3 linked regions of the Rhinolophus ferrumequinum genome follow. The protein of the gene in region 3 interacts with the protein of the main gene of each other region in a biochemical or structural test. Links are inferred from orthologs where the notes say so. Each region holds a gene or a part of one and is shown on either strand. Other genes may lie near its edges. The genes, in order: GSN, GC and ACTA1.

Region 1 (10,887 bases), on a different chromosome or scaffold from region 3:
CTCAAAGCAGTTACAAGAGTGGCCTTGGGACCATAAACCTTAATCTCTCTGGCTCCTGGTCAAGTGCTCTTTCTGCTCCCTATTCCAGGAACTACAAAAAAGCCTGGTCCTTCTCCAGGTCAGGGGCCTGGGTTCCAACCTTCTTACCTCTCCTTCAAGGTACCAAGGGGCCCAAGGTACCAAGGGAGAAGCCCCAGAAGGGGCTTTGTAAGTAGAAGGTAGAGCCGGACAGCTCAGGATTAGCAGCTGTGAGCACCAGTGAACCAGCAAACATGGGGCACTGGTAGGTTCCCGGGAATCCAGTCCACCTCTGCCCAGCCCAGAGCTGAGGCCCTGTTCCCAGGATACACCCTGCCCATATCTGTCTCACCAGCATGTTCCCATCATCCAATTCCTTGTGCCTCACCTGGGCAGAAAGGGTCACCACAGAGGACCCTGAGGTCCAGAGAGGGACGATGACTTTTATAAAGTCACACAACATATCAGTGGCACAGACTTGGCTTAAGAGGCAGGTTGGTGTAGTGGAAAGCATGCTGGGAGTCAGGCGATCTGGGTTCTGGTCTTAGCTCTGGGACTGACTTGCTGTGTAACCCTGAACTAGTTGTTTAACCTCTCTGTGCCTCAGTTCCCCTCTATCCCGTAAAATAAGAGATTTGGACTCTGACATTAAGGTCCATCTGGCTATCAAAGCTTGTGATCCTCTCCCTATCCTAACCAAAGAGAACCCCAGCTCTGCAAAACTACAGCTTTTCCTGAGCCCTTCCAAGCCAAGCCCTGTGCAAGGCATTTCCCAGCTACACCTTTACCAAATCCTCTCCACAGGCCTGAAGGGCAGGTACAACTGGCTCTTGTGTTACCAGAGAGGAGAAGGAGGCTCAGGGAGGCCAAGTGGCTTGCCAGAAGTCACACAGCATATTAGGGCACAGCTTCTCAGGACTCCTAGCTTGGCTTTGCTCAGCCCCACCTGGCTGGGGACTGGGGGAAAGATCTGTGTTGGTTCAGACTCTTCAAAGTTCAAGTTCAAGGGGGATTCTTCTAATGAACAGAAAGAAGAACGTCATCAAGGGCGCCCCTTTCAAATATCTAACATGGGCACTCTGTCGGCAGGGCCAAAGATCTAAGGGGTGCAGGAACAGGACTAGGTCCACGCCCCTGGCAAGCGAGGGGCTAGGTTTCCACCCATGGCCTACACCTTGCTACTGGGGCTAGGAAGAAAACCCTGTGAGACGATGGGGAATTTTCTTCTCTCCATTTTAAGATAAGGAACCAGAGGCTCACAGAGGAATTGTGATTTGTCCAAGGTCACACAGCTAGGAAGGGTCCAGGATTCAAACCCAGGGCTGGCCAATGCCAAAGGCTGAGCTCTGACCTGTCTTCTGACATCTCCCCACAGGACTGAAAGATGGGTGGACCTGAATGTATCCTGCCATTGGTGCATTTGTCCCTGCCGCCCAGGACCCACCTGGTATTTGAGGCCAGACTTGAAGTAGCCGAGGAACGTGGCCGACTCGAAGCCCTGGACCTCGCGGTGTTGCACGGCCCGACCGTTCAGGTAGTCGTCCAGCTGCACGGTGAAGATGGCAGCTGCTCCACTCTCATCCTGGGTACACTCATTGCCTAGGCGACATTCGAGCAGCGTAAGCCTGGCTTCCGGAGAGTAGTCCCAGCCTCCTGTGGAGGACTCTGGAGCCCCCAGCACGGAGCAGGCCTGGCTGTACAAACTGGGCAAGCCCCTCAGTTAATCCATCTACATAATGGGGGAGGCGGGGGCCGGACTCCATGGTCTCTGAGTCCTCTCAGCTCTAACACGTTCCCCTCCGCTCACCTCTCTCCCTCATTGCCCTGCACTCCCTCTCAGCCCTCCTGAGCGTGATGTCAGGCCTGGGAGCGTGGGCTCAATTCACACATTAGGAAACGGACGCTCAGCAGGCGCAGGACTTACAGTCACACTACAGAGCTGTGGCAGGGACTCCAGGCTCCCAACTCTGAAGGGTAAACTGAGGCATGGCTGGAGACGGGCCAGGGAAGCTGTGGAGCAGGTCCAGGGTCCCCAAGTCACCCCCAATTCTGAGTGCTACACTAACTCGTTTACCCCTCCCAACACCCCTTCGAGGTAGTGTGGCACTGCCACCATCATGTCCCCTTTCCAGAGGGACTGAGTGCCTTTCCAAAGGGCAGGGCTGGGCTCTGAACTCGGGCAGGCTGGCGCTAGAGTTTGGGGACACATAATCACCAGCCAAGGGCCTGGGACCTACTTGATGCTCAGTAGTCACTTAGCTCCCATGGGCGTCCCCCTGGGGACCATGCCTCAAAGGTCTGTGCTTTATGGGAGTGGGGCCTGGGGTGGGGGCGGGCCTCACCCAGCCAGTAGTGCAGGTCGTACTGCAGGTTCCCATTCCGCAGCTGCACTGTCTTCAGGATGACATAGGCATCGCCTGTGTAGAAGTTTCCGTAAAGGTTGGGGGGTACAGGTACCAGGTCGAACTTCTCCACACGCCAGATCTGCAGACCAGGCACCTTTCCGGCCTTGAGGAACTCGGGGTGTTCCACCACCATGCTGCCGGGCTGGAAGAGACAGGGCGGAGCCTGAGCAGGGGTGGGGGCCCTGGCGGGGAGAGACCCCGGGCATGAGGGAGGGTGGTTTCCAGCACCAAGAGCATCCCACTTGAGCCTCTGACTCTCCCCACCCCCGAGGCAAGTCTAACCCCTTCTACAACCCCTGTCTCAAGGGGTGAGCAAACAGGGAAGAGTTTAGGCTCCAAACCCTGCCCTTGGCCAGAGAGTAATCAGTTCTCCAATCATGGGGAGACAAAGGGCTCCAGCTCCCTTCTCCTTCCCTTCTTAGTGCCAATTGGATGGGACAGCTGAGGCACAGAGAGGTGAAGTGACTCTGCCAAGGACCCCCAGCCAGAAAATGGCATGGCAGGGATTGCCCCAAGCTCCAAGAGCACGAGCTCTGGGACCATGAAAAGAGCCCCTCGGATGGCAGTGGTAAAGCTGGGGGTCCCCAGGAGCTCAGCATTGTTCCCTTCCAGTATCCTCAGTGACTCTTAGAACTAGAAGGGTCTTCAGAGAGCTCCTCATCCAACCCCATTCTGCAGATGGGGAAACTGAGGCCCAAAGTGGGGAGGGGACTGGCCCACGGTCACACAGCCTGTTTGTTTTTGCTCTTTGGAAATGGGAAGATATCCCATGCCCTGTCCATGTCCCCATCACATCCCCAAGAAGGGCCTAAATGACTTAGCCCAAGTGGCCTCCTGCGCTGTCTGCCTCCTCCCTTCTGCCCCCCAATACCCCATCCCCAAGTCCCATTTCTTAGAAAAGGCAGAGAGGATGCAGCTGGGGTCTGCAGGAGCCTGTTGGAGATAAGGAGGTCAGGAATGGGGGAAAGGCCATCAGACATGCACGGGGCTAGAGATGGAGCAGAGTGAGACGGTTAGCCTGAGGCCAAAGGGCAGAAATCAGCAGGCACAGGTCACCTGGCCGGAGGACAGACCTGATGGGAGAAGTCAGAGAAACCGGACAAGGAGAACTCAGGCAGAGGGGTGAAGAAACGCAAAAAGGAAACAGGAGAGAAGAGGAAAAACCAGACAGGGCAGAGGAGAGATCAGAGAGGGGAGAATAAATAAGAGTAACAACAATAAGCACACAGAGGTGACATCATACAAAACAAAGGGAGAAAATATTGGAGAGGGAGGGAAATATCAGATGAGAAAGAGGAATCTGAAATGGAAGCAATAAGAAGAGGGAAGAAGAGAAATCAGGCAGAGGGAAGGAAAAACCAGATGAGGAAAAGGAGAAATCAGGCAGCAGGGATGGATAAGACATCAGAAGGCGGCAAGGGAAAAGAAATCCGGCCAAGGTGAGGTTAGCCTCTAGGGAGGTTAACAGCCAGGTCCCCGAGGCTCCCACCCCCATCAACGGGAGCCCGGGAAGCAGCAAGAGATACTTACAAAGCAACAAAACAGTTTATCCATTCTAGACCTGAATTACTCCCCTTTTCCTAGCGCTGTATCTGCAAGAACTTACAATAGAGAGTTACTCTGGGAACCCCCGGTCCCCCTGGACACTCACCCGCGCCTCGGACGCCCGGCCCTGGGATGCGGGTGTCTGGGCCGCCCCCCGCGACGCGGTGGCCGCACGGGCCGGCGGCGACAGCACGCACAGCGCCAAGACCAGCGCGCCAAGCAGGGCGGGCGCAGAGCGGTGCGGAGCCATGGCGGCGATGGCAGCAGAAGACCCAGTCAGCAGCCACCGCCTTCGGGTCGCTCACTTTAAGTAGCCACCCGCCCATCGCATCCAAGCCGGGAACGCCCTGCAGGGAGGGCGCGGGGCAGGGTTGGGCCCCAGCGGGGCCGGGAGGGGCGGGGATCTGGCCTGGATTTTGGAGACATCGGGGTTCCCATCGGACCAAACCCACTGGGCGTGGCCGCCCCTTCACCCCAGCTCCAGGGCAGAGCCCAAGCACAGGGGCTGGCATACAGCAGGCGCTAAGTCTATGGATGCTAAATGGGAGAATTCACGAACGGCAGGGAGCCCAGCTCAGCGTCCTGTGAGACCCACGCAAGACCCCAACCCAATCTGCACCTAACGTCTCCAGGACTTATTGTAGGTTCACCACGCCTCATACGAGGGTTGACACATGACATCCTTTACAGAGTGGGTATATCGGCAGGCCCATTTTACAGAGGGGGGAAACTGCCGCGAATAGCCCGGCCACCTGCACACCGGGACATGGTGCAGCCAAGATTTGAACCCAATCAGTCTGGGTGGCCCAACTCCCAGGAGCTAGGGGCAGACTGGACCGGGAGTAAACAGAACTTAGCGGGGGGGGGGGGGGGGGGGGGGGGGGTGTGGCGGGAGGGGGTGTCCGGCAGACCTCTCCACTCCTGCAGTTGCAGGTTCTTCTACAGCATTCAAGACTGCCTTTCTTTTTTATTTTTCAACAGTTTTCATTTTTTAAAACTTATTTTTTATCAAAGATTAAAGTCACATATTTGTACAGAGTTACTTCTCCCCAGGGGCAACCACTTCTATCTACCCCCTTTAGCTGATGATTTCAGTGTTTACCTTCATGTCTTAAATAACAAAACCTGTTGCATCTTGTAGTTGTTTTTGTTTTGGTTTTTGTGTTTTGTTTTGTTTTTCCAGTTCTAGGTCCTATCTATTGGCTCCCCCTGGGAAGACAAGGTTTTAAGCCTTGTCCCCACTCACAGGCTCCCTTCCCGTTCCTCCACCCTCCCACTCGTGAGGCAGAGTCACTGCATTAGGAGAAGGACTCTTCAGACTCTCTTAATCCTGCCAATCCCTCTCTCCTCCCTCCCATCACACTGCTCATCTATGTCCAAGTTCTCTTTGCATCCCAGATCTCCCCGTCTCCCAAAAGCCTGGAGGGACGTCAGGAAAGAGAAATGGGGAGTTGGAGACCTAGCTCTGACTCCCACCACTGTGTGTAAGTTACTTTCCTTTTCTATGACTGTCTCCTCATCTACTAAATGGGTACAGTAGCTGCTGAGGACTAAATCAATCTCTGTGTATGTGTGAAAATGGCCTGGCCTGCAACCAGGTAAACGGGAGTTCCCGTCCCCTTCCCCACAGCTATGGTCCCCTGTCCCAGCCCCTCCTGGAGCCCCAGCTTCTATCTAATCAGTGGCAATTGGACCTCGGCCCTCCACAACTTCTTTCTACCGAAGTGGGTCTGTGGGACAGATAAAGGGGTAAGGGAACACACACACACAGAGGATTCAGATCGGAAGGAGAGTAAGAAGACTTCATAGAGAAAGGAACTTGTGACCACGGCGTTGAAGGAGAAGGAGGAGGGAGACTAAGAAGAAAAGGCGTTTTCAGGGCAGGAACAGCAGGGACAAAGGGCAAGCAAAGGAACGCAAGCAGTGGATAAGGAGGGGTCCAGTCTGAAACACAGGGAAAAAGAGGAGCCGAGGCGGGGAGAGGGCGGCAGGAGTCACAGGGCTCGAGCGTTACACTGAAGAATCTGAACTTTATATCTGGGTGTCTGTGGGGAGCCACAGAGAGATGCCAAGTTCTCAGGGCTGCCTGTCTAGGCCCTGGCCCAGGGAGCCTGCAGTGGGCCAGTTCAGGCCTAAATTCAGACAGTTCTTCCCTCTCTTTAGGCATTTGGGTGATTATAAAAACCCCACAGTTGTAAAACAAACAAACAAATAAACAAAGAAAACCCACAGTTGTCATATGCTCTGATGGAAGCATAAACCGGCTTCACCTCTCTGGGTAGCAATTTGATTATCCAAATTCGAAACACACGAGGCAACAACAGATCCACTTTCTTCAGAATTACTTACAAAGGAACACAAAAATACATGTGCAAGGATGTTCACTGAAGCATTGTTTGAGGAAAACTGGAAAGGACCCAAATGTCCTGGTTAAATAAATTACGGCGATGCCATACAATGGACCTCTCTGCAGCTGTGAAAACACAATGAGCTAGATGTGATTGTGCCTGGCACATAGTAGGCACTCAAGCACGGAGAGCTGTCCAAGGGCAAAAAAGCAAATTGTACGACTGCAGTATGACTCCTCTCCTTTTTTATAAGGGTGTCTGTGTTTGGATACATCCTTCAAAAGTCAAGAAGGACAAATGCCAAACTGTCAAGGTGGTTTGCTTGGAAGAGATGAGAACAGAGAATTTCCACCTCTGATACTGTCGTGATAGCCTGAGGCGGCAGTGAGCCCCTCGATCACTGCACTCAGCAGGAGGACACATTTTAGGGTGATGACAACATTCTACCCTGGATTATGGGGATGACTGCACAACTGAAAAATCTACTAAAAATCGGAGCGCTGTATGCTTACAATGGGTGAGTTGTTATGGTATGTAAATCATACCTCAATACTCTTGCTGAAAATAAAAAAAAAATGAAAACTTGCTCTGGGAGTTGAAACTATTTACAAATATGTATCCAATGCAATTGATGATTTTTAATGAAACACTGATCTAGAAAAAAGTCCTTTTCAAAATGTATAGTGATGCCTGCTCATTAGAGAATTTGGAAAATCCAAACAAGTAGGAAAAAGAAATGTCCTGTCATCCCAGCCCCCAAGAGCGAAGTGGAGCTGGCAGCTGGCAGCTGGCCCACGTCAGCAGTCCCTTCTTGGAGCACTGTGGCTCTGACCTCCCCACTGGGTGATTAACGGAGGGTGTGGTCTTGGGCCCAGGGGTCTGACAAGCAGCCCAGGGTCACTGGCCCTCAGGTTAATGGTCACAAAGGCCTTGCAGCTTTGCCTGCCACATCTGAGTAGCTCTGGAGCCTGGGCCCTCAGCATTGGAGACCTGGTGAATGGGCCCTGGGCCCTGCCCTCCGGAAGCCCACAGCCTGGAAACTCTACTTGGTAGAGATGTGTGGAGCCTTTCATGGGGGCAACATGGTCTTATGCTGCTCCCTGCCTGGAAGAGGATATATGGGTTCAGGAGAGTGGGGGACTTGGGTGTGAGAGAAAGATCCCAAGGTAGAAAGGAAGAGGCCCCACTGCTAGGCCTGGCTCTGCCACTGACTTCCTGGGTGATTTGGGGCAAGTCACTGCCCCTCTCTGAGCCTCGGGGTCTCCATTGCAAAAGATGAGATAGGTCCCTATGCTATTTCCAGCTCCAGCATTCCCAGATCCTGGCTGTGCAACCACATCCAGAACCTACATGTCTCTGAGCCTCAAGGTTCTTATCTGTAAAATGGTACTGGACCAGGTCATCTGTACAGGTACTTCTGAATCTGACAGTCCAGCACCTGTCCTGCAGAAGGAGGCATTGCCATCACCATGCCACCTCTCCTCTGGGCCCAGACATCTCTGGGAGAAAAGAGGGAGGAAAGGAGAGGGGGGGTCCAAGGCTGAGTCTCCTCATAGCAACCAGTGTACATAGACATTCAAATTCCCATTTTACAGATGGGGAAACAGACTCAGGGAGGTTCGGTCACTTGCTCAGGGCCACTCAGCTGGAAGGAGGCATTCCTGAGATTCAGACACAAGTGTGGCTGGCTCTAGTCTCTAAGGTCTATCTGGGGAGATGAAGCAGGGCCTCCTGGCACCATCCAGCCTGGACAGGGAGCAAGTGTCCTTTCCAGGTAAAGGGTTGCAGTTGCTAAATCAGCCAAAGGCAAGCCACGCCTGGCAGCCAGCAGTCTCTGGGGCAGCCGTCCCCACCACACCCCCCAGGCCAGGGCAGGAGGCTGGACCGGGAAAGCCCTCTGCCCTCCACACACCTGTGTGAGCACCCAGGACAAAGGCATGTCTTAGGAAGAAGCTCAGGCTGTGGCCACTGAATGGACAATGGCCTGTGACACTTACATCCTAGGCCACTCATGGGCACTCAGGCCAGTCACGGTTACTGTGAGTTGAGAGGCAGCCTGGCTCTGCTGCCACTCGCTCTGTGAGCATGTCCTCAACCCTGCCCTTCTCTGGACTCCAGAGGTCCCCTGGTCTTGGTTGTTCCTGGCTCCTACCCGGTACCATGAACAAAGTAGGCAGTTTTTCAGTGTCTGCCACAGGAAGAAGCCGTACAGCCCACGATCCTCCCCTGCAGTTGGACCCAGGATGGCCGCGGGCTTCGGCCCTGCCTCCTCTGTGACCTTAGGCTAGTCTCCGTGTCTCTCTGGTGTCCCAGGGCAGTTACCAGAGCCTGGAGGAGGCGGCCTCACCCTCCGCCCCTGGCCACAGTGTACACAAGGCCTTGGCCAGGGCTGGAAGACGCCGCCCTGTTCTTTTCTCTTCACCTCAAACAAAGTTGTTTTTTATTTCCCAGCAGCTGGCCACTCATGGGAAGCCTCCTGGAGTTTGTTTGCTGTTCTCTGGGTCCTCCTGGGAACACCCGCCCCTCTGGCCCAGGATTTTGCTAATTGGGACAATGGTAAACAAAGAAGCAAGTAATAAAACTCAGTGAAACTGGACAGGGCTGCAGGGAGGTCTGGAGAGCCCCCGTGGACCTGAAAGGATGTGTGTTTTAGAATTTGGGAGACTCAGTTCCTTGAAGTGACTCAGTTTTCTTATCTAAAAAACGGGGAGAATGATACCTAGCTCACGAGGCAGTGAGGAGGCCCCTCACGGGGCCTGACACACGGTAAGAGCTCCCCAAAAGTTAGAACCCTTCTTCTTGAACTATCTGGTTTCTTCGCAGAGGCCTTTATTCAGCATCCGCACACCGTGTGGGAACAGTGGAGCAGGAGAAAGGTTACAGACTCCACAGGGAGATTCTAGAGTTCAGGTCTGGGCTGTGTCACCTGGAGCAAGTTACTTCCCCCTCTGAGCCTTGGGTGACTCATTTGTAAACAGGGATAGTGGTGTCCAGTTGCAGGGTGGTTGGGAGCTCTGGAGCAAGAGTAGCGTTGGGGGCCATTGCGCAGCACAGGACTCATTAGCAGGACTCACTGGGCATCCTGTCTTTGCAGATGACGACACCAAGAACAAAACCGGGACTTCTCAGAATCAACAGCAAGTCCCTGGCAGAGCAGACCGAGGCCCCGGGTCCCTTGGTGACCAGATCAGAGCTGAGGCCTGTGTCCTGTGCCAATGACAGCGCTCACGCTAAGGGCCAGCTGGATCTCTGTGTGGGCCCAGCCTATCCTGGGTGTGGACAGCTTTTGGGGAGATGGCCAGTGGGGTTTGGCTGAAGCCACCTCTAGGAGGCCGACTATTCCAGGGACCAAAGCCACGGGCCTTTTCCCAGCTTCTGGAGGCAAGCCCACCTTGGCTGAGAGCCAAGGCAGGACATTCGGAAGGGGCCAGGCCCCGCCACTTCCTGACCCCGTGCCCTGGAAGCTGCCAGATTTGGCCATGGGTACGAGCCCAGCACCCTTCCTGCCACGGCCCACTTCACAGTCTGTCTCCCCTTTCCTGGGGGAGGAAGCACGGTGGGCCAGCAGCTCGGCTGTAAACAGCTGCAAACAACTACATCATAGCCCATCTGGCACCCCTCTTCTCGTCTGACACCCCTCATCTTGCCGATAGGGGAGCCCAGGCACAAACAAATCAGCAGCAGGACACAGAGGCCCAACTGCAGGCGCTGAGGCCGCAGGACCAGTAGAAAGTGGGACCGTCTCTGTCTGCAAACCGCCTGGGAAGGCAGGGCCTAAGGGGCCCCAGCCAGAGCCAGGATGAGCAGGAGCCGCGGGAGGCAGCCCTGCTCCATAGAGCGAAAGGCTTTCCAGGAGGGAGAAAAGCGATGTGCATGATGACTGTGGAAGACGCTCCCGCCAGGAACATCTGGGTCTAAATTCCTGACCCACCACTTCCTAAGTGTGGTGTGAGCAGGTCGCTTCTGCTCTCTGAGCCTCCACTTCCTCATCCGTACCATGGGGATTATAATACTCTTCCTAGGGTGGTTGTGGGAATTTAATAAGGTCAAATACGTGTGGGGCTTTGCACAGCGCTGGGCGCAGAGTATGCACTATATAGGAAGCTACGATTATTGTTAGTTGAGTATTTGGGAAAGTTTCTCTCTCTCTGAGAGGCTCAAGCTCCTTATGTATGAAACTGGTGTAAAAGTGCCTTTCTCGAAAGCGAATGGAAAGGATAGAATGAGACCATAAATGTGGAAGATCCTCAGACCATGCCTGGCATAAAACAGATGTTCAAAAATGCCAGTTTCCTTCGGTCAGGAGCAGGAGCTGAGGCCGGTGAGCTCAGGATGCCGAGAATGGATGAGGGATGCCTGACCTCCCGGCCAAGAGAATACAAGGAATGTCGGGGGTGATTTTGGACAGAGCTCAAATCCCTACCATGGGGAGGTGGGGGGAACTGGGCGAGTGGCCCTCCTGTGGCACTTCACTTTCCTCCTCTGTAGAATGGGGTGAGGGTCCCTGCCTTGTGGGGAGCCTGGGAGGGCTGAAGGAGCCCAGGCACGGTGCTTGGCACACAGCCAGCGCT
Region 2 (10,523 bases), on a different chromosome or scaffold from region 3:
TTTCTGCTTCTCTCTTCCACCTTAAAGATCCTTGTGATTCCATTGGTCCCACCCAGACAATCCCAATTGTTTTTCTACTTTAAGTTCAGCTGATTAGCAAACATTCTTCCATCTGCAACTTTAATTCTCTTTTGTGATGTAACCTATCCTATCCACAGTTTCTGGGCATTAGGATGTGGACATTTTTGGAGGGCCCTCATTCTGCCTACCACACACTCATTAATATTTAAGCCTGAGATCACACCCACCATCAGGTGACTCTAAACAGAGATTAGAATTGGGGTGGATTCATATCAGACAGCTTGATCCCTAGAATCTCACCAGCCAGCTATACATACTCAAACCCATTATTTCATTAATCTCACAATGGTGATTCTGATTTTTTAATGTAATCAATTCATTTTTGGACTCCATTTATTACATCATGTCAAGTTTTATATTGTATTTTAATAATAATTAGTTGGGCAAAGGGTGGGAGGCAGGGATTTGGTTAGGAAGACATAATAGTCAGGTAAAGGGGAACAAAGGCCTGGACTAGGACAGTGTATGGAAATGTAAATGGAAACCTAGTAGGTTTGAGAGGCGGTGTTCACAGACCGAGAACCAGGCATATGAGGAAGGTAAAGGGGAGATACAAAAGGAACACTGAGGAAGTTTCTACATTAGAACGCTATGTACAAAGTCCGAGCCATTTCAAGGCTGAATTTTATAGAATGTGGAAATGATTGAATATGGATAATAAGATGAAGAAAGAAGTCCAAGAAGGCTTTATAGGATTGAACATAAATAACCCAGATATGATGGTGTCAGGAAAATAGGGAAGTTAGAAGACAGAGTTAGTTTCACGGGATAGGGATGATGTGGCGTTTGGACCAGTTATGGATGATTCATAGTAAGCAGCATGAGTTTCACTTAATTCCCCCTACACTGGTGATAGTGACAGGTATTTCCCTCTTATACTTGGTCGTACAGTAGCAAAAGATTTTAGCTGAGGTAACTCAAATAAAGGCAGCAATGCAAGTGATAGCATTATCTTTGTAAACCCAACTAATTAGCATAAAATTCTGGTTCTGCCAGAATTCTACATTTTACAGTTTACATTTTAATTCATTACAAAAAACAAATGAACAGCTGGTGATAAGGTAAGGTGATGAATGCTAAAAAAAAAAGGCATGGTACAGGAATAGAGAAAAATGGAGTGGTACGTGCTATTTGAGATAGGTTAGTCAAGGAAGCCTTCTCAGTACATGAAGTTGGAGCAAACACCAGAAGGAGGTGAGGAAGGGAGCTAGATGGATTATCAGGGGGATCAGTGATCTAAGAGGAGGGAGGACTAGTACGAAGCCCTGAGGTACAGAGTTCATAGAGTATGGGATAGTGTGGAGGACAGCGTGGGTGCGGCACGGTGAGCTGGGGGAAAATAGGAGAAAGAAACGTTGCAGTAGGCAGAATTAATACTGGATACTGGATACTATCATAGATAGTAGAGGAGAGAGTTATCGATTCCTTTTAGGGATTTCTTTATCTCCTTCCTATATCGATTCATCTGTGGCCTTTTAAAGAATGTGCACACTTATCCCTACACCACACACAAGTTGATGAGTGCACACCAGGCATTGCACATTGCAACGATGAAATGTGATATTGTTATTGATGTCCAGGAAGGTTAGCATTGCTTTTGATGACGAAGTTAGCTACTTTTCTGGCTTTGGCTCCTTTTCCTTTCCCCTCTTGGCTAAGACTCTTTTATGCTTTTACTCTGGATTCTTTGTGCACTTGGATTGGACCATGTTTGTTCTTAGCTCAGGACTTTTACACCTGAGTTCCTCCCACTTCAAACTCACTTCTAGATCTTTACGTGGCTGTCTTCTTTTCATCATGTAGTGCTCACATTCTACGTCTTCTCCTCAATAATCATATGTAGGTTTTACAGAAAGCTTATAAAGTTATTTGGAAAAATAGAGGGGATATCTACTTATCCTAAGTTATTTCTCTCTGGCATTCTGTACAGCTGTGTTCCTGAACCAAACTTAGGACAGCTTTGTTTTTCAAGTGGTAACTGATGAAGGGGCAGGAAACTTGTAAAAAAGAGAAACAGTGATTCAGTGGTGGTTTGGGAGATTGGGATAACCCACATTGTCTACGGCTGTTTTGACAAGCAAGTGGAAGAAGGAAACATAGCTCATCCACCAACCCAAAGGGGGCTTTCTTTCTGTTGGGTATTATTTAGTAAAACTGTATGCTGAGAATGAAGTGCTTAAAGCAAAAATGAAAATGTTCATAGTAAATGTCCTATTCTTGCCAACAGCTTGTATAAATTATAATGGTTTATTTCCTGTTAGCATTATTTCTTTGATAATTGTATAGTTGTGTCAGCAGTCTTTGTTACTTGTGTTTTTTTTTTTTTTGGGGGGGGAGAGAAAGATACATTGCAGATTAGTGCTACTTACATTTCAGTCCTGGGGAAAGAAGCCAAGGGGAGGCAACTGGCAAACACTGCCTTTTTGCCTTTCAAGGGGTAGCTAAAGTGGATGTTTCCTTATGACACCACCTAGATTTGGCACATTTGATAAGCCCTTCTCTCCCCAGATGTGAACTGAATTCCCAGGGCGGCTTGATTAAAGAGGACTGGCCTAACTGGCGTTGATGTTCATGTTGAGCGACAGCAGTGTCAATTTTCAAAGAATACTTTCATGGGGTCTTGGCATTTTAGGTAAAAGCCAGTGTGCTTGGGGAATTCTGAGTTAAATAAGGTTTCTTTCTGGTAGGACTGCTCAGACAAAACCTTGGGGACAATAAAGGCATTGATTGTGAACTAACCAAGAAGGACTAATGCATGTTTTATTTCTTAAATGTGTTTGGCCATATAAAGTTTTTTCCAAGACAAGTCTTGAGTGAAATATACTTTGGAAGAGGTGTTCTAAACAAATGCTGTAGACGATCAGTTAGCTCTCCAGAACTGTAACAGGCAGAGAGAGCTGCAGCCCAAACCAATCCCTCACCATCCAAAGCTCTCTCAACTCCTTTATCCATATACTTTGTAACTTCCTGCCAGAGGGCACATGCCTAGCTTCCAAGTGAACCACTAACTTGGTATTTGGGTCATGCTCAGGCCTTATAGAACAGAGGACTGATGGGTCAGGAGCATCATTTCCAAATGTTGAATATTTGTTGCTTATAAATGTCTGTCTCAGATAATATCATCAGACCTATGGCACATGGGTAATTTGAAGTTCATTGTGAAGTTTAGACTTTTAAGGCAGCTGGCTTGAGGTTTTTAGCATTCATTTCATCAGAGCCAGAAAATACAGAAGGATGTCGAAACAGAGGTTGCAGAATAATCTGCTAGTTTTCAAAGGGCACCGTAACTCTTCGAGGTGAGACCAATGTACAGTTATTGAGTCCGTAGTCCAAAATGGTCACTCATGTCCCACATTATGGAGTCCACATATAATTCCAGCACTGGACCTTCTCTGTTTTGGATATTCTGAACTAAACCTGCTTCAGTAGGATTTTTCAGGTTCATATCTGCTCCAGGGAAACCTTGGACAAAAGAGTAAGCTTGTAGGGTTTCTTGGGTCTTGGCGTATTCAGAGGTCTTGTAAGGGACACAATTTATTTTACTTATCTATACCCCATATCTCAGACTTTGTAGTCTTACATAAAGAAAGATCCATAGCTTATTTAAGAATCTATGGGTGAATAAGACAAAATTTTAAATTATTTGAATGATAAAAGTAAGATCAAGGAAAAGTGAAAGTAAAAAGAATAAGAAAATGTCCGCAGTAAGATTATTCATGTTATAGTTAATACCAATAATTTCTGATACAGACGTAGTACACGTAGTTTATTCCAATGGTTAAATACATTATTAATATGAATACTAATGTATGATTTGGATGAGATTCTTAACTGAAAGCACTAAATGAAAGTTAATTTTTCAAAGCAGGATGAATGCAGATTCCCTTAGAAGCATTAAAGAATCAGCCAGGAAAGTAAATTGAAACTGATTATAAATTTTGCAGCATGGGAACTTTCCACAAAGTTATATGCATAATTTCAGCCTGTATCATTTAAAAAGGTTTTAAACATTGCTAAAAGATGGAGATGCCATTTGAAGAATAATCTTAATAAAAAATATAGCTCAATTATCTTTTATAGTTTCATAGCTATTGAATTATTTTATTTGGGATATTTTAAAAACGATAATGCATTTCCAAATATTACACATACAGGAAGGATTCCTTGAAGAGGATCAAAGAAATCTCAGTTAACCTCATGCATCATTGATATGGTATATTATGCTTTCAATGGCGATAAATATTTGAAGTCTGAAAAAATGCTCAGTGATGTTTCATAGACTCCATTTGCATTATCTTTTAACAACTAAAATATTTCTAATTTCAAACCATTCTCTCTAGGTTTCAAAAAAGCAAGGAAGGCTAACTGACAAATTATATAATTTTTCTTTCTTTCATGAGATTAACTTGATTTCTTGGCTATTCCAATTGAAGGCTACATACCATATTTGAGCTCTGACACGAGTCTCTCTGATCCTTCCCTTTCTCCCCAACATATTCACAAATTCTCTTGTTTATCACCATTTGTATAATTTTTTAAAACGGTAACAGAAAATTAGACTAGTAAGAGTTCTCATACATAGTCACACCACTGGAAGTCTTACCTCTCTCTAGAGCATGCACAAATGCTACAGCCAGCAGGAGAAACGGCACCTTCTTCATTTTCCTGCCAGCAAGTCCTGCAGCACTCCTGTTTCCTGCAGGTTACCCAGTGAAAAATGCAGCCCAAAGTAATCAATTCCCTTTTACTATTTCCCAACTATGAACTAATCAATTATTAATCTCTACACAGAAGAAAGGGCAGTCATCCTTGGCCCACAGAGATAAAATAATATCAATCAAGGCAAATAAACACCCTGGGGAAAATGCAGTGACAAATCTGGGAGACTTTAATCATTAACTTTGTCAAACTTGAAAAGAGTCAGAGTATACACAGATTATTTTCCACTGCTGCTTTTTACTAAAGTTTATTTAATTTATTAGTGGGTACATCCTGCCTGTCCTTTATAGGTCTTTTTTGGACATTCCCTACCTTTCTCATACATAAATAGAAACTTGGAGGTTTCTGTGTTTCTCCTTCCCTCCCTTCTTCCTTCTCTGTTTCAACCTACTGCAAATAAGGATTACCTTAAAATACTGCAGGCTAGGTTTTTTTTGTGTGTTTTTTTTTTAATTTATTGGGGTGACAATTGTTAGTAAAATTACATAGATTTCAGGTGTATAATTCTGTATCACATCATCTATAAATTACATTGTGTGTTCACCACCCAGAATCAGTTCTCCTTCCATCATCATATATTTGATCCCCCTTACCCTCATCTCCTACCCCCCAACCCCCTTACCCTCTGGTAACCACTAAATCAGACTAGTTTTTTTTAAGTGATGAGGGAAAAAACAAGAGTGAGAAGCCAATTTATCACAATTGCTCAAATCCATAATTCAATGCTATAAAATGTATTGAAGGGGATGGGATAGTACTTTATATTTAGGTTCTATATTAAATTTTTTGAAGCTACTGAGATACAGACACAAGCACGTGAGTGCGCGCGCGCTCACACACACACACACACACACACACACACATATAAATGCATATACACACACATATATATATATAATAACCTCTTCTTGAGGGAGATAACTAGAGAGGTTAAATGACTGTCCCCAAATCACAAAAGTTATCTTGGACTTTCTACACCTAATTTAAACTTCTTTCTATTAATACCATACCACTAGTTTATTTCAGGATACTATAATTTGAGATCTCATAGTGGCCTTATACAGCATGGAATTCTACATCTTCAATTTACAGAAGAGGAAACGAAGTCCTAGACAGATTCTGTGATTTGCCCAGAGAGGCACAAGTAGTTACCATTCATTGGAATCAAGTCAGCTCCTGGTTCTTATAATAGCCCTCTTTTCAGGAAGGCAGGATTAGGTAGGGGTTGGGTATGCAAGCTCTAGAATCAAATCCCTACTCAGCGCTTATTGACTACATAATCTTGGGAAGTTATTTTGTCTCTTTAAGTCTCATTTTTCTCATATGCAAAGTGGTGATAACTCGTAGTACTTTTGTCATAAGATTGTTGTGAGTTTAATTAAGATAATTCATGTGTAGGGTTTACCATAACATCAACCACATAGTACCATGCCTTAATGTTTTCTATTCATCATATTCTAGCTATTATCACTTTCTCCACTGGCTTTTCAAATTTATAATATCTGAAAAGATCATTGGAATAAATGAGGCCTGGAACTCAGTGGAAAATTTAAAACCAGCCCTGTATCCTAGGTTTAGAACTATCACAGATAAGTGATATAGAATTCCATTATCAATTTAGTAGCTAAGGACTAACTGCATGGGCAAATTCCATCAAAATCTTAATAAGCTGCACTAAGCAGTTACATTTTTTGTCAGATCCTCCATCTATATTGAAAATACTTGGGTGTTAGGTTCTGAAAATAGAGTCCAGTTAGTTGGAAAAAAGATAACAAAGCAAGAGATATCTGTGTAAGGCCAATGGAAACCCATGTGGTAAAGGAAATTAGTAGATAGTGTGAACATTGTTGGAGGGAATATGGGAAGATAGTCTTGTTCAAAAATTAACTTTCTGCCTACCACAAATCTAAACTTTTCCTTTGGTTAAACTCCTAGTTTTCTTTGTAAGTTAATTAGAAAATGCTTTAGTCTTACTGTAAATTATTTGGAAACAAAGAAACTCTAAAAGAGTGCCAAAGAGTTTGAAAATAATTGACAAACCCAGAATTCAGAGAATAACTGTTAACACATTATAGTTTTCATCTTTATTTAAGATAATACAACATATGTACTTTTGTAGTTTTTAATTTAATGGTATTTCAGTCATCTTCTGATGATTAATTCATTCAAACATACAGCTACTTGTTTCCTATGATTTGCTACAGAGCTTAAGACCAACCTGTTCTTTCATTTTTTAAAAAAAAATCTTTGCTTTTGCAATTACATCAACCACTTTTGTTTAATGATAAACTACATGTAGCAAGAATTGCAACATCTCATTTAGGTGTTCTCTTGAGAAATCTCTACACTAGCTGCCAAATGCATTCTTTTGGCAGAGTTTATCTTTTTCTAACTGAAAATTGGCACTCACATGCTAGGAGCTAAATACATGAACCTTTTCTCAGTCTTATTTATGTAATTTTACTTAATCTTTCAAATGTTGATTGCTTACATTGATTCTAAAACTGGAAAGAAAGAATCGTAATTGGCTTAAATGAGAGGTCTCATGTTGCAATGGTTGCTCTAAATAAGTCAGATGGGGAAAAAGGGTGAAAAATATGAAGCAAATCTTCTGACACTGTTACAGCAATAGTTACAGCAACTCAGAAATTTATTACAGAAATATTTTTAAAAATTATTCATTAAATATTGAAGCAATGGAATTTTACAGGAGTTGTTTTGCCCATAAAGAACTGATTGGAAGTAGTTTCCCTTCTTCTTTATCTTGCCATTAACTTCAGAAAAAAATTAGGATTTTCCCTCAGTAAAGCTAGTTGTAGGCAAAATTGTGAGACAAAGTCCATCTTTAGTTCTTTCTCTATCACATTTTTCTCTTCCTGCCAAGGCTGCTTGGAAACTTTTACATTATACTATTGCTGTCCTGTATGTAGTGTCTTCGTTTTTCCTGATTGCATCTAAAATTATCACTTTACCTTTGGTTTTCAGTAGTTATCCTCTGTACATAGTGTTGCTCTTTTCATATTTATCTTGATAAGCGTGCATTAAACTTCTTGTATCTATGTATAAGTCAATGTGTTTTTCTTTCTTTCTTTTTTTTTTCTTTTTTACCAAATATATGAAATGTTCAGCCGTTATTTTTGAAGTACTTTTCTGACACATTCTAGCTCTTTTCTCTTGGGGACTTTAAATACTCAAGCTCCCAATGGTGTATCAGACTATTTGATATTATCCTACACATTTCTGAGGCTCTACTCAATTTCTTCTCTCTGTTCTTCAGTTTGGATAATTCTTGTTCATTAGTCTCAAGTTCATTATTCTTCTATCTCTAATCTCATTCAAAGAATTTCTATTTGATTTTTTTAATAGGTTCTATTTTGCTGCTGAGATTCTGTTTATTCATTAAGACTACTCATATGTTTATTTCTAATTCTTCGAACACATTGTCCTTTAAATCTTTTTCCAAATTAATAAATGTTTCCTTGTAGTCTTTGTCGACTATGTACGTACTGTGTTTGAGCCATCTCAGAGTTGGTTTCTATTGATTTGTTTTTATCTTGATTATGGGTGACATTTTTCTATTTCTTTGCATATGTAGTAATTTTTTCACTATACACTGGACAAGTAATGTGAAAATTTGATATTTTGTATGACTTAATTATTTTTAAGTTCCCTATAACTTAAGTTGTTTTCACATTATTTTTCTCATTCTTGATACTCCTAAAGTTTAGTGTGACTCAGACATCCTTTTGATTGTATTGATTGGATAACAGTTAAATTGCTACCCAATTCAGTCAAACCACCATTTGGAATTCTAAAATGTATGACAAAGATATTAATATAAAGGGATTTGATGAGCTCAGTTTTATGTCATACTTAAACTAATTGGTTGGGGATAAAAAGAACTGGGCAAGTTGTTTCCTGGTAACAGAAATTTTTATTCTCATTCTACTCCCAACCTTGTTTTTCTTTTTTTTTTTTAAATGGAATCTCTGATTATCTATTAGAAAGTTCACTCCTGATTTTCATTTCAAATATGTAGATTTTAAACAGGAGGTTAATGCATAATCAATGATTGATTGATAACCACATATTTCGACTTTTTTTGCTTTTTTCAAGTTACTGCCATGTGAATTCTATATGAAGATGCACTCTGAAAAAGGAATCCAGTTAAATATAAAAGAATAGAGTGTAATATAAAAGAATAGAGTGGATATTTCTGTTATTCTATTTATATATATTATTTGTCATCTTCAGATATCTGGGACTTGACTACATTTCCACAAAGAAAATTTGGTGCAAAGTTATAACTATTAAAAAAAAAAGTCTTCTTGACAGTATGAACATAGAGCTGAGTACTAATACAACAATATCATATTCTTTAATATTGCTTTACAGTTCATATTCACTTTCCTATACTTACTCATTTGCTCTGGACATCAATTTATGCATTGGTAGGCAGAACATTATAAATTTCATAAATTTTACAAATAAGGAAGTTGAAGTTCAGAGCCTACCAATGGTACTTGAAATTCTTTGAAATTAGAATATAGAATCTGACTCCAAGACCAGAGTGTTTGTCACTAACTGAATTAGTTCAGATCATCACCATTGGTAGATAAGTTAGGTGACTTTCTCCTGGTGGAATAAGCAATCTCTTAGAACAGTAAAGAAAGTATGAATTTTGGTTGTAGGTAAACATTTGTATGCAAGCTCTACTAATTAACCTCAATTAGTACAATAATACAATGAGTTTAAAAATAACAGTTTAAATGGAAAAATTTACTTAAAGCATCTAGCCAAACACAAACATTCAATTCACAACACACACACATAATACAAGGTATGACAATTAAGTTCAGGAACTCATCCTAGAAAAAGTGCTATACATGTCATTGCTGAATATCACCATGGTCACCTTCAAAGTACTCCCTTTGGGAAGCTATGCACGGATGCTAGTGCCTAGTCCACCCTTCAAAGCAATTTTCGAATTCTCGCTGGAATGGCCATCAGAGCTATTGTTGTACTACCGTTGATGTCCTGAATGTCATCAAAATGTCTTTCTTTCAATATTTCCTTTATCTTCAGGTAAAGAAAGAAGTCATTGGGGGCCAGATCAGATGAGTAGGGAAGGTATTCCAGTACAGTTATTTGTTTACTGGCTAAAAACTCCCTCACAGACAGTGCTGTGTGAGCTGGTGCATTGTCGTGATGCAAGAGCCAGGAATTGTTGGTGAAAAGTTCAGGTTGCCTAACTGTTTTACACAGCCTTTTCAGCACTTCCAAATAGTAAATTTGGTTAACTGTTTGTTCAGCTGGTATAAATTCATAATGAATAATCCCTCTGATATCAAAAGGGTTAGTAACATCATACAACAAGTTCACGAACATAATTGTTAGATCTCATATAACTTCTGTTTTTTGAGAATTCGTTGTTTTTCTCAATCGTGGCTAATTTATGAGAAGTGTGTTAAAATTTTCAATTCTACAAATGTTAACTGATAAAACAAGTCAGAAGAATAAATAGAATAAAAAGCCTGCCTTTAAAAAAAACCACCATAACTACCGAATCTGTAGTTATGTGGTCTAAGTATAGTAACATGTTGTTCATAACATATTCTTTGTTGTATTGTTAATTATAGTAATTGGACTTGCATTAATAACATTCATTCATTCAAACATTTTTATTGATTCAGGCACTGTTCCAAGTTTTGGGGGGAAGGTCA
Region 3 (10,859 bases):
TGATATTTTCTGCTCCTTTTTGCCATGTGAAATTCATTAGTTGTCTCCGTACTCAGCACCCTTTCACTCTCACTGTACCCAGGGTTCTGGAGTACTTGTCCCAGTTCTGGCTCCTTGTGTGCCTGCATCTCTTCTGGGCCTCAGTTCCTGTAACTACAATGACGGGATTGCCCTGGGTTGTCTCTGCAGTTGCCGTGACTGGATATCATGCGCTGATGGGATCTGGAGCGATTGGTGTCTGTTTTGATTAGGGCTAGTGGGCGGTGTCTGGTGAGGTTTTGCTAAATTATGGGACTAAAGGACAAAACAGAGTGGGCCTAGATCATGTGAGCTTGGTGACTGATTCATTCACTGGGAAAATTTTAAACTTCTGCATAAACCATAGAGTATTAATGAAAGTATTTTAGTGAATAAAACATTTATGTGGCTTTCTAGCCTACCCATAAGTTGCCATCTAATAAGTTTGTAGTAGTAGCGTTAGTTACCGTCGTTAGCGTGGGGGTTCAGTCAGCTTCCTATACTTCCAGGATGATTTACACCGAACTCCAGCTTTATGGAGAGCTAACATAAAGCTTGTGTAATGCTAGAAAGCACTGCAGGTTTTCTCACTGTGGCAGCTGGTTTCACTAAAAAGTAGTCGTTACCCAGTTTTATCCAGCTTTAAATAAAGACCAGAGAGTGGACAGGGAGCTGCTGGCACTGCCATCCTCGCCCAGTTGAGAGGGCACTCATCATCTTGCTCCAGTAGCTGAAGGTCAAAGTTAAATACGGCACCAAGGGCCCAGTCTCTGGTCTCGGATCCAGCCGGCGCCGTCTCCCTGCGCTCCTTCGAAGCGGCTTCTGTTCACAAGGCAGTGAGGGCGCTGCTTCCACGAGTCACCCGAGGGGAACAGCCAGCCTGCTCCCTTCTGTTCACAGCCTGCATGTTGGCACAGCTTAGGAATATAGTGAGGACTTCTAAGGAGCCAGACGGCCGGGAAGAAGGAGGAAAAGCGAAATTAGGACCAAGATTTTAAATAATTTTCTCTCCAAAATTTTTAAAAATTTGCTTTACAATATAGCCTTTATCAGACAGTCATTGATTTCTAGTTAAATGGAGTGTTGATCACAACAAATTTTAAAGGTGAGCATTTCTAAGAAAGGGGCATTTCTGACTTGCAAAGATCTTTGTTTTCACTTGTCTGAATGTTGTTCAGAAAAACAGTTTGTGGCTCTGAGTCGAAGACTACGGCTGTGTCAGAGAGAGGAGCAGGCGGGTATACCTGTGTGTCAGGTAGAGGAGTGGCCAGGTGTATCTGTGTGTCAGAGAGGAGCGGGCGGGTGTACCTGTGTATCAGGTAGAGAGAGGAGTGGGTGGGGTGTACCTGTGTGTCAGGTAGAGGAGTGGGTGGGGTGTACCTGTGTGTCAGGTAGAGGAGTGGGCAGGTGTACCTGTGTGTCAGAGAGGAGTGGGTGGGTTTACCTGTGTGTGGGTTAGAGCAGTGGGCAGGTGTACCTGTGTGTCAGGTAGAGAGAGGAATGGGCGGTGTACCTATGTGTCAGGTAGAGAGGAGCTGGTGGGGTGTACCTGTGTGTCAGGTAGAGGAGTGGGCAGGTGTACCTGTGTGTCAGAGGAGCAGGGAGGTGTACCTGTGTGTCAGAGAGAGGAGCGGGTGGGTATACCTGTGTGTCAGAGAGAGGAACAGGCAAGTGTACCTGTGTGTCAGAGAGGAGCAGGCAGGTGTACCTGTGTGTCAGGTAGAGAAGTGGGCAGGTGTACCTGTGTGTCAGGTAGAGAGAGGAGCCGGCGGGTGTACCTGTGTGTCAGAGCGAGGAACAGGCAAGTGTACCTATGTGTCAGGAGCAGGCAGGTGTACCTGTGTGTCAGAGGGAGGAGCGGGCGGGTATTCTTGTGTCAGAGGAGTGGGCAGGTGTACTGGTGTGGGCCAGATGTTGTGAGACACAGAACCAAGGTGAGAAGCCACTGGTACCTCTTTGTAGGGACTGTGTTTTTGAAGGAAGCTTTGAAGGATTGTGATTCATTTTTCCTCGGGAGAGCATGCAGGCCGGTGGAAGTTGGTGTGCCGCCAGGGCTTCTTCCAAGCGTGCATCCTGCCATCAGACCTGCTTCTGACTCTGTTCTAATCCAACACTGCACGTTTTCAGGCTGACAGCTACAAATACACAAATATTTAAATAGTTTAGCCTCACCTGCTCATTACTGGACATTTTATTGGGCATTTAATAGCTTTACTATTCTGATGTAAATCTACTCACTAAATACCAAAGTACATTTTTAAAAAACAATCTGTGTAATTCTAAAATTTTAAAAATTCTATAGAAAATGTTAAACCTTTAAAAAAAAAATATGAAAAGAAAGCCATTTAATCCCCGCAGCCCGGAGTAGCTTCAGTTGCCATTTTGAAACAGAACATAGAATGGGAATGTTCAGGCTCTTATATTTTGTGACCTCCTACTGCTGATGTGACACTGAGCATATCTGTGTACCTTAATCCAGGATGGTCAATCCTCACTCACCGTTGACAGGTCCTTGGCACTACCATGAAATAATGTGTAAGGAGACCAATTTTGCCAGAGGCTAATTGATACTAGTAACAGTTCAGTTACTTTGGCATCTTGTCGATGTCATAAATGTCATTCGAGGACCTGCTGTGTTCCTGAGCCATTGTTATCATTCCTCCTTTTTAGATGGTGTTTTCCTGACCGCTCTTCCCCCGCCCCACCTCCCGTAAGTTTAATACAGTCTAACCACAGGTAGACTGTATCTTCTTATGGACCGTGGCCCTTGGAGGCCACAAATCATTGTGATATTTAAGGTTGTTTACCCTCTGAGACCCCCTTTGAGGATACATGCTTTCAGTATTCAAGGCACAATTTCTTAATGGCTGCGTGACACTTGGCCATGTGGCTGTACCATAATTTATTTAACAGCCCTGTCTCTTTCTTAACAATCTTAAAACACTTGGGTTAATGGTTTTGGATTGGTTTGGGTTTTGGCATTTTTCTTTTAATACTAGAATCAACCTTCGTGCGCTCCAAATACATTTAAAATGACATTAACTCTTCCTGTTTGTGATGTTGTGTGTTCGGTGAAGTTATAATGATTTTTAATGTCCTTTGCTAACCGCTCCTACCACCTCACCACTCAGCTCCTCCAAACTCTTAGAAGACACTGCGCCATTCATGGAGAATTCTTCCACGCCAGGATTTAACCTAGTTTTAACCTTCAAATCAGTCTTAAGGAGTAGGTGGCGTCCTCAGCTGAGAATGCTGTCTTCCTGTCCAAGGTCACAGCCAGTCCAAGTGGAGGTACACCAGACAGGCAAGCTTGTCACCAGCTCGTCATACGAATGTGAGAAGGGTGGGGGACAGGGATGGTCAGGCCCCTAGAGGTGGCCCGGAGGCCGAGCGAGAAGCCCGCAGCAGGAGCTCTCAGCCCTCTCCTGACTGCCTTGGGCCGCCTGACCGAGGTGTGTGTCTCGGGACAAGGAGGAGTGCTGTCCTGTGTGCACCTGGGCTGGGTGTTTGTGCCTGGGTGCTGCCAGCCGGCGCCCTCACTGCCCCGTTTGAGAGGGTACTTACAGGTGAAGCCATGACTTCATTGCAGGTGCCTTTGCCTTCTGTTGGAAAAGCTCCCTTGCGGATGTTTCCAGAACTGCAGCAAGTGTTGGGAAGATTAAAGGAAGAGAGGAGCAGCCCTTCCCGCCCTGACCACTGGAGAGGAAGGCTGCCAGGAGGCCTTCCTCACTGCTGCGGGCTGAGTCTTGATCTTCTCACCTTTAAAAGTGGAATGAATAGGACCCATCTTACCTCCAGAGAGTTAGAAGGATAATGGGAACAACATGAAGGCATATCAAGTGTTTTACTGATTCATGTTCAACTTGCTAGGCAACTTGATAGAAAGCTTAGACTGAGCAAGACGAGTGTACAGCTATGTGGATGGAGGGGACAACTGGACACAGCAGGCGTGCGCACACTGATGCCTCGTAGCAAAGGGCCCTGTCAGTATGGAGAGCGGAGGCTGCGCCTGAAAACTTAGAAACAGGAGCTCCGGCAGGCATTCCCTTCACGTGACCTTTGGTAGTGACCGGTCCCAGAAGGATATGCAGGCAGTAACCTACTTATGGGGCGAGAGCACTGGTGTGTTTCCCAAAGGCCGAGGCCAATGGCGATGGCTTTTCCACCTGCTTGTTGGGTCTGCTCCCTAAGCCAATGGGAATTCAAGACCAGACCCGACTGGAAGCAGCCACATGGCTACAGCTCTGAAGAAGCGAGCCCCTGCTGCCAGGAGGGAGCGGATGTCTGCACCCTTCTCAGGGCCCATCTTCCCAAGGTTTGCACACGAAACTCTTAGCTGTCAGTTTTTCATTCACAGCTTTTAGTGTGTGTTTGAATTTAATACACTCTGAGCTTAGAAAAGCTTGCTATAGCAAAAGAGTCACACTGAGCAAGAGTTGTGGAAAATAGTAACAGTCCCGTTCCCTTTAAAATGTCAACAAATTGTTAGGTATTGAGTGAATGACAGCACGTTTCTTCCTATCCTTAAGACCACATTATAAGCTCATATTGTACCTCTGGTGCATTTGCCGGGTTTTTTCTAGCGTCTCCACTACCGACTGACAGGGCAGGACGCCAGGTACTAAAAATGAGAGGTAGCTCTCTGAATTATTGAAATAATTGTAAAGGCTAAATGTGAAAGCATGGTAGCTTTTACCTGAGCCTTCATAACTCACTGTGGGCCCTGTACTAACCTCATTTTGTCATTGACTTGGGTCATTTTTAGGAAATGCTGCCATGATGTGGGCTACAGAGGATTGCGTATGCCTTTATATTGCTCAGATCCCACACCTGTCCTAGGTACCCAGTTCCACTACAAATGGGAATTGCAACTATTGGGGGAACACTTAAGCACATAGAAAGATGAGTGATTCTATTGGGGCTCCTACCACCTCGTTGATGTACTCCCCACTCCACCCCACTCCCGAAAGCATGTCACTGAGTTCATTCCAGAAAATGGTTTCTCCTTGTGCTTTCTACAGCAAGGTTAGAACTGTTCTTGTCCCAGGGGAAATGGGAGGCAGGCACCAACTGGATGACCTGCTGTGACCCTCACTCCACCTTACCCCGAGAAGATCCAAATGCTTCTAGAAAATGTGAAAGGCATATCGCATGTGTCAGGGGTATAAATAGCAGGGCTCCACGGGCTCTGGGGGGTGGTGACTCCCGGGTGGACTGGGACGCAGCCCTGCCTTGGCGAGGGGTCATCCTCTAAGCACAAAGATGAGTTTGTTCAGCCATCTCAGAAGGAAAAACTGCGTCCGTCCTAGAGCGTAATGTCCTCGTCCTCTTATTGAGAGGAAGGACAGGCAAGGAAGGCTTCATTTAGTAAGGGCACCTCACCTCCATGTCGTGGGTTCTGTGTGACACTCGCCTTTCAGCTGCAGGGGGAGGACACTCAGTGACCCCACCAAGGACGTGGGGATAGGGCCCTCAGCTCGGCCCACTGAAACCCGGGCTGCTCAGACCGGCAGGAAGAGAACGACCGATACAATCCACTCCCTTCATGAACCCCCGCCCCCGAACGCACTGCGCGTCACCCGGGCCGACAGCTCCGGTGCCCTGGTTTAATGCCCGGCGCTGCCAGGGCCACCGCCGGGGCCTGTCCCCGGGAGCCCCGCGCCTCCTCCCCGCCACTCCGCCCTCTGCCAGTTGTCTGCCCCGCGACAGCTGCGCGCCGTCCCGCCGCCGGTGGCCCTCTTGGCAGTGGGGGTGGGGGCTGACTTGGATCAGCCCTCTGGACTCCGGGAGCTCAGGGGTGGCGAGGGAGAAATGAGGTTCCCTAGGGGGACACCGGGTGTGACTGCTCCAACCCTCTCAGGCCCCCCACTTGGACACGGCTCCCTCCAACCTGTAGTCGCATGTGAGGGTTTGGTGTCTGAGTGAAGCACCGGGAAGAAGGGGTGAAATGTAGGCGGCGCAGTCCGGAGCGTCCAGTGCGCTCAGAGCGGACAGGTGCAGCGCCGGGAGCGCAGGCGCACAGTCCACTGGGCCGGGTAGGGAGGGGCCGACCCGCCCGGGAAACGCTCCATATACGGCCCGGCCCGCGTTACCTGGGTCCCGGCCAGGCCGCTCCTTCTTTGGTCAGCATAGGGGCCCCGGGCGGGGGCCCAGGCCGCGAACCGGGCGGAGGAGGGGTCTCTAGTGTCCAACACCCAAATATGGCTCGAGAAGGGGAGCGACATTCCTGCGGGCCGGCGTGGGGGTAGCGCCCACGGGCTATATAAAACCTGAACGGGGGACCAACGGCCACCGCAGCGGATAACGCCGAGAGAAGCCTTGCTTCCCTTCCGCGGCGACCAGGGCCCAAGCCGGAGAGCAGCAGGTGTAGCCACCCGCCCAGGTAGGGCGGGAGTGGGGAGGTGATAGGGGAACAGGGTCCAACTGACTCACTTGATCAGCTCCACGTCTGAGCCCTGCGCTTGGGTCCCCAGAGCCACACGCGCCTTAAAGAGGCGGCACCAGACAACGGGCTTTTGAAAACGTCTCCAAATATATCCCGCCTTTAGGCTGTTCTACCTGGCATTTAGTATATGCCCAGGTACATGAAAGGTTTTGTTTTAGTCCTCCCGAGGGCAATTCCCATCTGAGCGCCAGAGCCAAGCGACAGCCAGGGCCACTACTCCCTCGGTTGTGAGTCTGGAATGTCGTGGGGCTCCGGAATAAGCCATTCTTCCCTGGATGGCGCCCACAGCCTTTCCCACGGGCTCCTTCCACCCTCACACTCACCCAGCGAGCCGGTACCCAGGCCCTATCCCTCTAGGTGAGGCCCCCTGAGTGCGGAGGGGTGGGCGCTAGCGCATGGCTCTTGCAGCGGGTGGACTGCAGCGAAGGACACGATCTTGCGCTCAGCAGTCTCAGGGGACACTGTGCCCCTGGGTTCCCGGGGTGGAAAAATGCTCAGTGGGGTCTCGACGACCCTGAGCCCCTCTTCCAGGCACAGCACAGCCCTGAGCCTGGGGAGCGAAGAGTGGGAAGCTAGGAAACGGCCCCTTTGGCCGCTCCCCTGCCCTGATGCTCACGTCTTGGCCTGGTGGTGTCCATAAGTCCCGGGGCACGGAGAACGCAGGAGCCCGCGGGGCCTCCTGCGCTGACGCAGGGTGCGTCTCCACCACCTTCCTGTCCTTGCAGAAACCAAACACCATGTGTGACGAAGACGAGACCACCGCCCTTGTGTGCGACAATGGCTCCGGCCTGGTGAAAGCCGGCTTCGCCGGCGATGACGCCCCTAGGGCTGTGTTCCCGTCCATCGTGGGCCGCCCTCGCCATCAGGTCAGGCTGCGCCTCCGCGGAGGGGGCGGGGCCGGGGTTCCCGCGTGGCCCAGCCGCGCGCTGTCCTGAGCCGCGGTAACGAGTGCGTGGTGTCTTGGGTCCGCAGGGCGTCATGGTGGGTATGGGGCAGAAGGACTCGTACGTGGGCGACGAGGCTCAGAGCAAGAGAGGCATCCTGACCCTGAAGTACCCCATCGAGCACGGCATCATCACCAACTGGGACGACATGGAGAAGATCTGGCACCACACCTTCTACAACGAGCTGCGCGTGGCCCCCGAGGAGCACCCCACCCTGCTCACCGAGGCCCCCCTGAACCCCAAGGCCAACCGCGAGAAAATGACCCAGATCATGTTTGAGACCTTCAACGTGCCCGCCATGTACGTGGCCATCCAGGCCGTGCTGTCCCTCTACGCCTCCGGCCGTACCACCGGTAAGTGCCCGCAGCCGAGCCCCGCCCCGCCCCGCCCCCCGGCGCGCTCCCGCCCGAGAGCCGGCCTGCTGCGCCTGCGCCCGGTGCCCAGGCGTGAGAGGCCGCTCAGTCCCTGCGGGGTTCCCGCCCTGCCCCCGCGCAGGCATCGTGCTAGACTCCGGCGACGGCGTCACCCACAACGTGCCCATCTATGAGGGCTACGCCCTCCCTCACGCCATCATGCGCCTGGACCTGGCGGGCCGCGACCTCACCGACTACCTAATGAAGATCCTCACCGAACGAGGCTACTCCTTCGTGACCACAGGTGCGCGGCCCACGGCACCCTGGGCGGGAGGGGTGCGGCGAGCTCCGGGGCCCCGCACTGAGGGCGCCTCTCCCGTCCCTGTCCCCCGCAGCCGAGCGCGAGATCGTGCGCGACATCAAGGAGAAGCTGTGCTACGTGGCCCTGGACTTCGAGAACGAGATGGCGACGGCCGCCTCCTCCTCCTCCCTGGAGAAGAGCTACGAGCTGCCTGACGGGCAGGTCATCACCATCGGCAACGAGCGCTTCCGCTGCCCGGAGACGCTCTTCCAGCCGTCCTTCATCGGTGAGCCCCGCACGTCCCCGCGCGTCCCCGCCGTGCGTCCCCGCGCGTCCCCGCCGCCCCGCGCGCCTGCTCACATTCGCCCTGCTGCCCCCAGGCATGGAGTCGGCGGGCATCCACGAGACCACCTACAACAGCATCATGAAGTGCGACATCGACATCAGGAAGGACCTGTACGCCAACAACGTCATGTCGGGAGGGACCACCATGTACCCCGGGATCGCCGACCGCATGCAAAAGGAGATCACGGCGCTGGCCCCCAGCACCATGAAGATCAAGGTAGGCGGCAGCCCCGCCCCCGCGCCCCGCGCCCCGCGCCCCGCGCCCACCTGACGCGCTGTCTTGCAGATCATCGCCCCGCCGGAGCGCAAGTACTCGGTGTGGATCGGCGGCTCCATCCTGGCCTCGCTGTCCACCTTCCAGCAGATGTGGATCACCAAGCAGGAGTACGACGAGGCCGGCCCGTCCATCGTGCACCGCAAATGCTTCTAGACCCCGCGCCCTCATAGCGTGCGAATTCTCCCCAGGACGACACACCTGCTCCAGCGCGGCGCAGCCACTGGCTCTCTAACAACTCCGGTTGCTGCGGCCGCAAAGCGACACAGTGTTTATAACGTGTACATACATTAACTTATTTACCTCATTTTGCTATTTTTAAAACAAAGCCCTGTGGAAGGAGATGGGAAACTTGAAGCATTAAACCCCGCCATTCTGTGATGCTGCGTCAAGTTGTTTGTTGCGTTTATTTGCCTGGGCGGGAGCGGCGGGGACAGGGCACGTCGCTGCCACAATGCTCCCGAGCGCACTCCTTACGAGCCCTTAGCTAAGACTGCCCCCTGGGATCACATCCGTTCCCAAACACTGGCGTGGGGTGTCCCGCCTGGGCCCGCTGTGTGCGGGTTCTTCGCCCTGCGCACCGCGCAGCAGTCAGCCAGTTCCGGTTCCCGCCAGCCCATTTCGGGGCGCTGACCGTGGTGCTGGCCCGGAGCGGCCCCGGGAGCTCCTTCCCGCCCCACCTACCGCTGGCTTTCCTCGTTGAGCCAGGCTTCCCCGCGTAATCTCGACAAATCTAAACGAAAGGGCTGTGTTCTGCATTGAATGAACCCGTTTTCATTTGTAAGTGAAGACAACCACTTCTCTTCTCAATTGGGAACTCCTCTGCTTCGTGCCGGGTGACGGAGCGTAAGAAACGCCCCTTTCAGGGAGGGGCCGGGAAGAGCGGCGCCCAGAGGGGGGAGGAGGGCGAGGAAGGGCGTCAGGAGAGCGGTCAGCGTGTGCGGCACTGAGGGCGGCCAGCAAGGAAGCGTCCGGAGGCACGGCAGATGAGACCGGCACTGGACAAAGAGGAGTAAGCACTGTTTTAAAGGCACGAGATATATTAAAGAGTTTGACTTTCTGTGGGACAGCACAGTATATATATATATATGTATATATATATGTATATATGTATATATATATGTATATATGTGTGTATATATATATATATATATAATGTTTCCTAGTCAAGATTCCTAAGAGCAGTGTCCCTAAATAGATTCTGACTCAAAAAAGATAATAAACTCCTTTGAAATAAGTGTATAAGTAAAATCAACAACAGCTATGTTATATGCCACATCATCATAAGTTTATTTCCTCCTTTCATGGCATATTGAAAAGCTTCGGAAATCTTTGAGGCCTCCAAAGTTGGAAAACGGCCAAATCCAGATATCAAGAGAATCAATCATTCAGTAGAAGTCAACATTTTTAATAAAACAAGTATGTGATACTATCGGCACTGAAAACCAGGTATTACTGCCCCTCCCAGGGCTAATTCTAGATTCTAGTCTTTCAGAGGAATGTAGCTTTTATGGCTCATACGTACTAAACAAACACAGATATATTTGAGCAAACACAACACACACACACACACACACACACACACACACACACACACACACACAGCCTGAATAAGGCATGTACCCAGCAGCCTGGAAAAATGTCAGAATTACATGAGTTAGCTAACTTTCATGTTAAACATTTTAAAAAATATGCCGTATTTTGCAGTGTAGCATGTACTCCCGTGTATAATGCGCACCCACGTTTTTGGCCCAAACTTTCAGGGAAAAAACTCTTTTATTTTATTTTTTTAATTCAAATTTTTATTTATTTATATTTAGTTACTTGGTTTTTATATTATAAAGGAATTTTAGCATTTATTTTTTAACATTATGGTACAAGAAATTTTATGTAACAAATAATTACAAAACACAAGAACAGATACAAGGTACAAGAAATTTTATGTAACAGTAACAAATTTATGATATTTACGCGTCACAGAAGGCCAAGAACTCTTCGTTGCAAGTTCATCGTAAATTCAACAAAACTGATTATCGTATTCCAGGGTATTATTTTGCATACGGATATCGTTACTGATTTCTAGAGCTACTTTTTAAACTCATAAGCATAAATAAAAGAATTAAAAACATTTATATAGACACAGAGTTAGTACTACCCGTGTATAATGCGCGTCCTTATT

What was found.
Region 1: the proteins of ACTA1 (region 3) and GSN are reported together in a solved structure, tested with the Homo sapiens proteins (3 studies listed by BioGRID and IntAct). The link is inferred for Rhinolophus ferrumequinum from reciprocal best matches to the Homo sapiens genes ACTA1 and GSN.
Region 2: the proteins of ACTA1 (region 3) and GC are reported together in a solved structure, tested with the Homo sapiens proteins (2 studies listed by BioGRID and IntAct). The link is inferred for Rhinolophus ferrumequinum from reciprocal best matches to the Homo sapiens genes ACTA1 and GC.

Annotation. Positions count from the first base shown.
Region 1 is NC_046295.1:71,653,852-71,664,738, reverse strand, and holds the start of GSN (gelsolin), read right to left. Parts: upstream 4,261-10,887; 5' UTR 4,219-4,260; coding exon 4,075-4,218; intron 4,020-4,074; exon of another isoform or gene 3,978-4,019; coding exon of another isoform or gene 3,954-3,977; intron 2,566-3,953; coding exon 2,361-2,565; intron 1,618-2,360; coding exon 1,463-1,617; intron 1-1,462. UniProt on the Homo sapiens protein: Calcium-regulated, actin-modulating protein that binds to the plus (or barbed) ends of actin monomers or filaments, preventing monomer exchange (end-blocking or capping).
Region 2 is NC_046288.1:29,378,848-29,389,370, forward strand, and holds the start of GC (vitamin D-binding protein), read right to left. Parts: upstream 4,825-10,523; 5' UTR 4,743-4,824; coding exon 4,685-4,742; intron 1-4,684. UniProt on the Homo sapiens protein: Involved in vitamin D transport and storage, scavenging of extracellular G-actin, enhancement of the chemotactic activity of C5 alpha for neutrophils in inflammation and macrophage activation.
Region 3 is NC_046310.1:26,952,639-26,963,497, forward strand, and holds ACTA1 (actin, alpha skeletal muscle), read left to right. Parts: upstream 1-6,230; 5' UTR 6,231-6,382; intron 6,383-7,188; 5' UTR 7,189-7,200; coding exon 7,201-7,329; intron 7,330-7,435; coding exon 7,436-7,760; intron 7,761-7,902; coding exon 7,903-8,064; intron 8,065-8,155; coding exon 8,156-8,347; intron 8,348-8,441; coding exon 8,442-8,623; intron 8,624-8,692; coding exon 8,693-8,836; 3' UTR 8,837-9,068; downstream 9,069-10,859. UniProt on the Homo sapiens protein: Actins are highly conserved proteins that are involved in various types of cell motility and are ubiquitously expressed in all eukaryotic cells.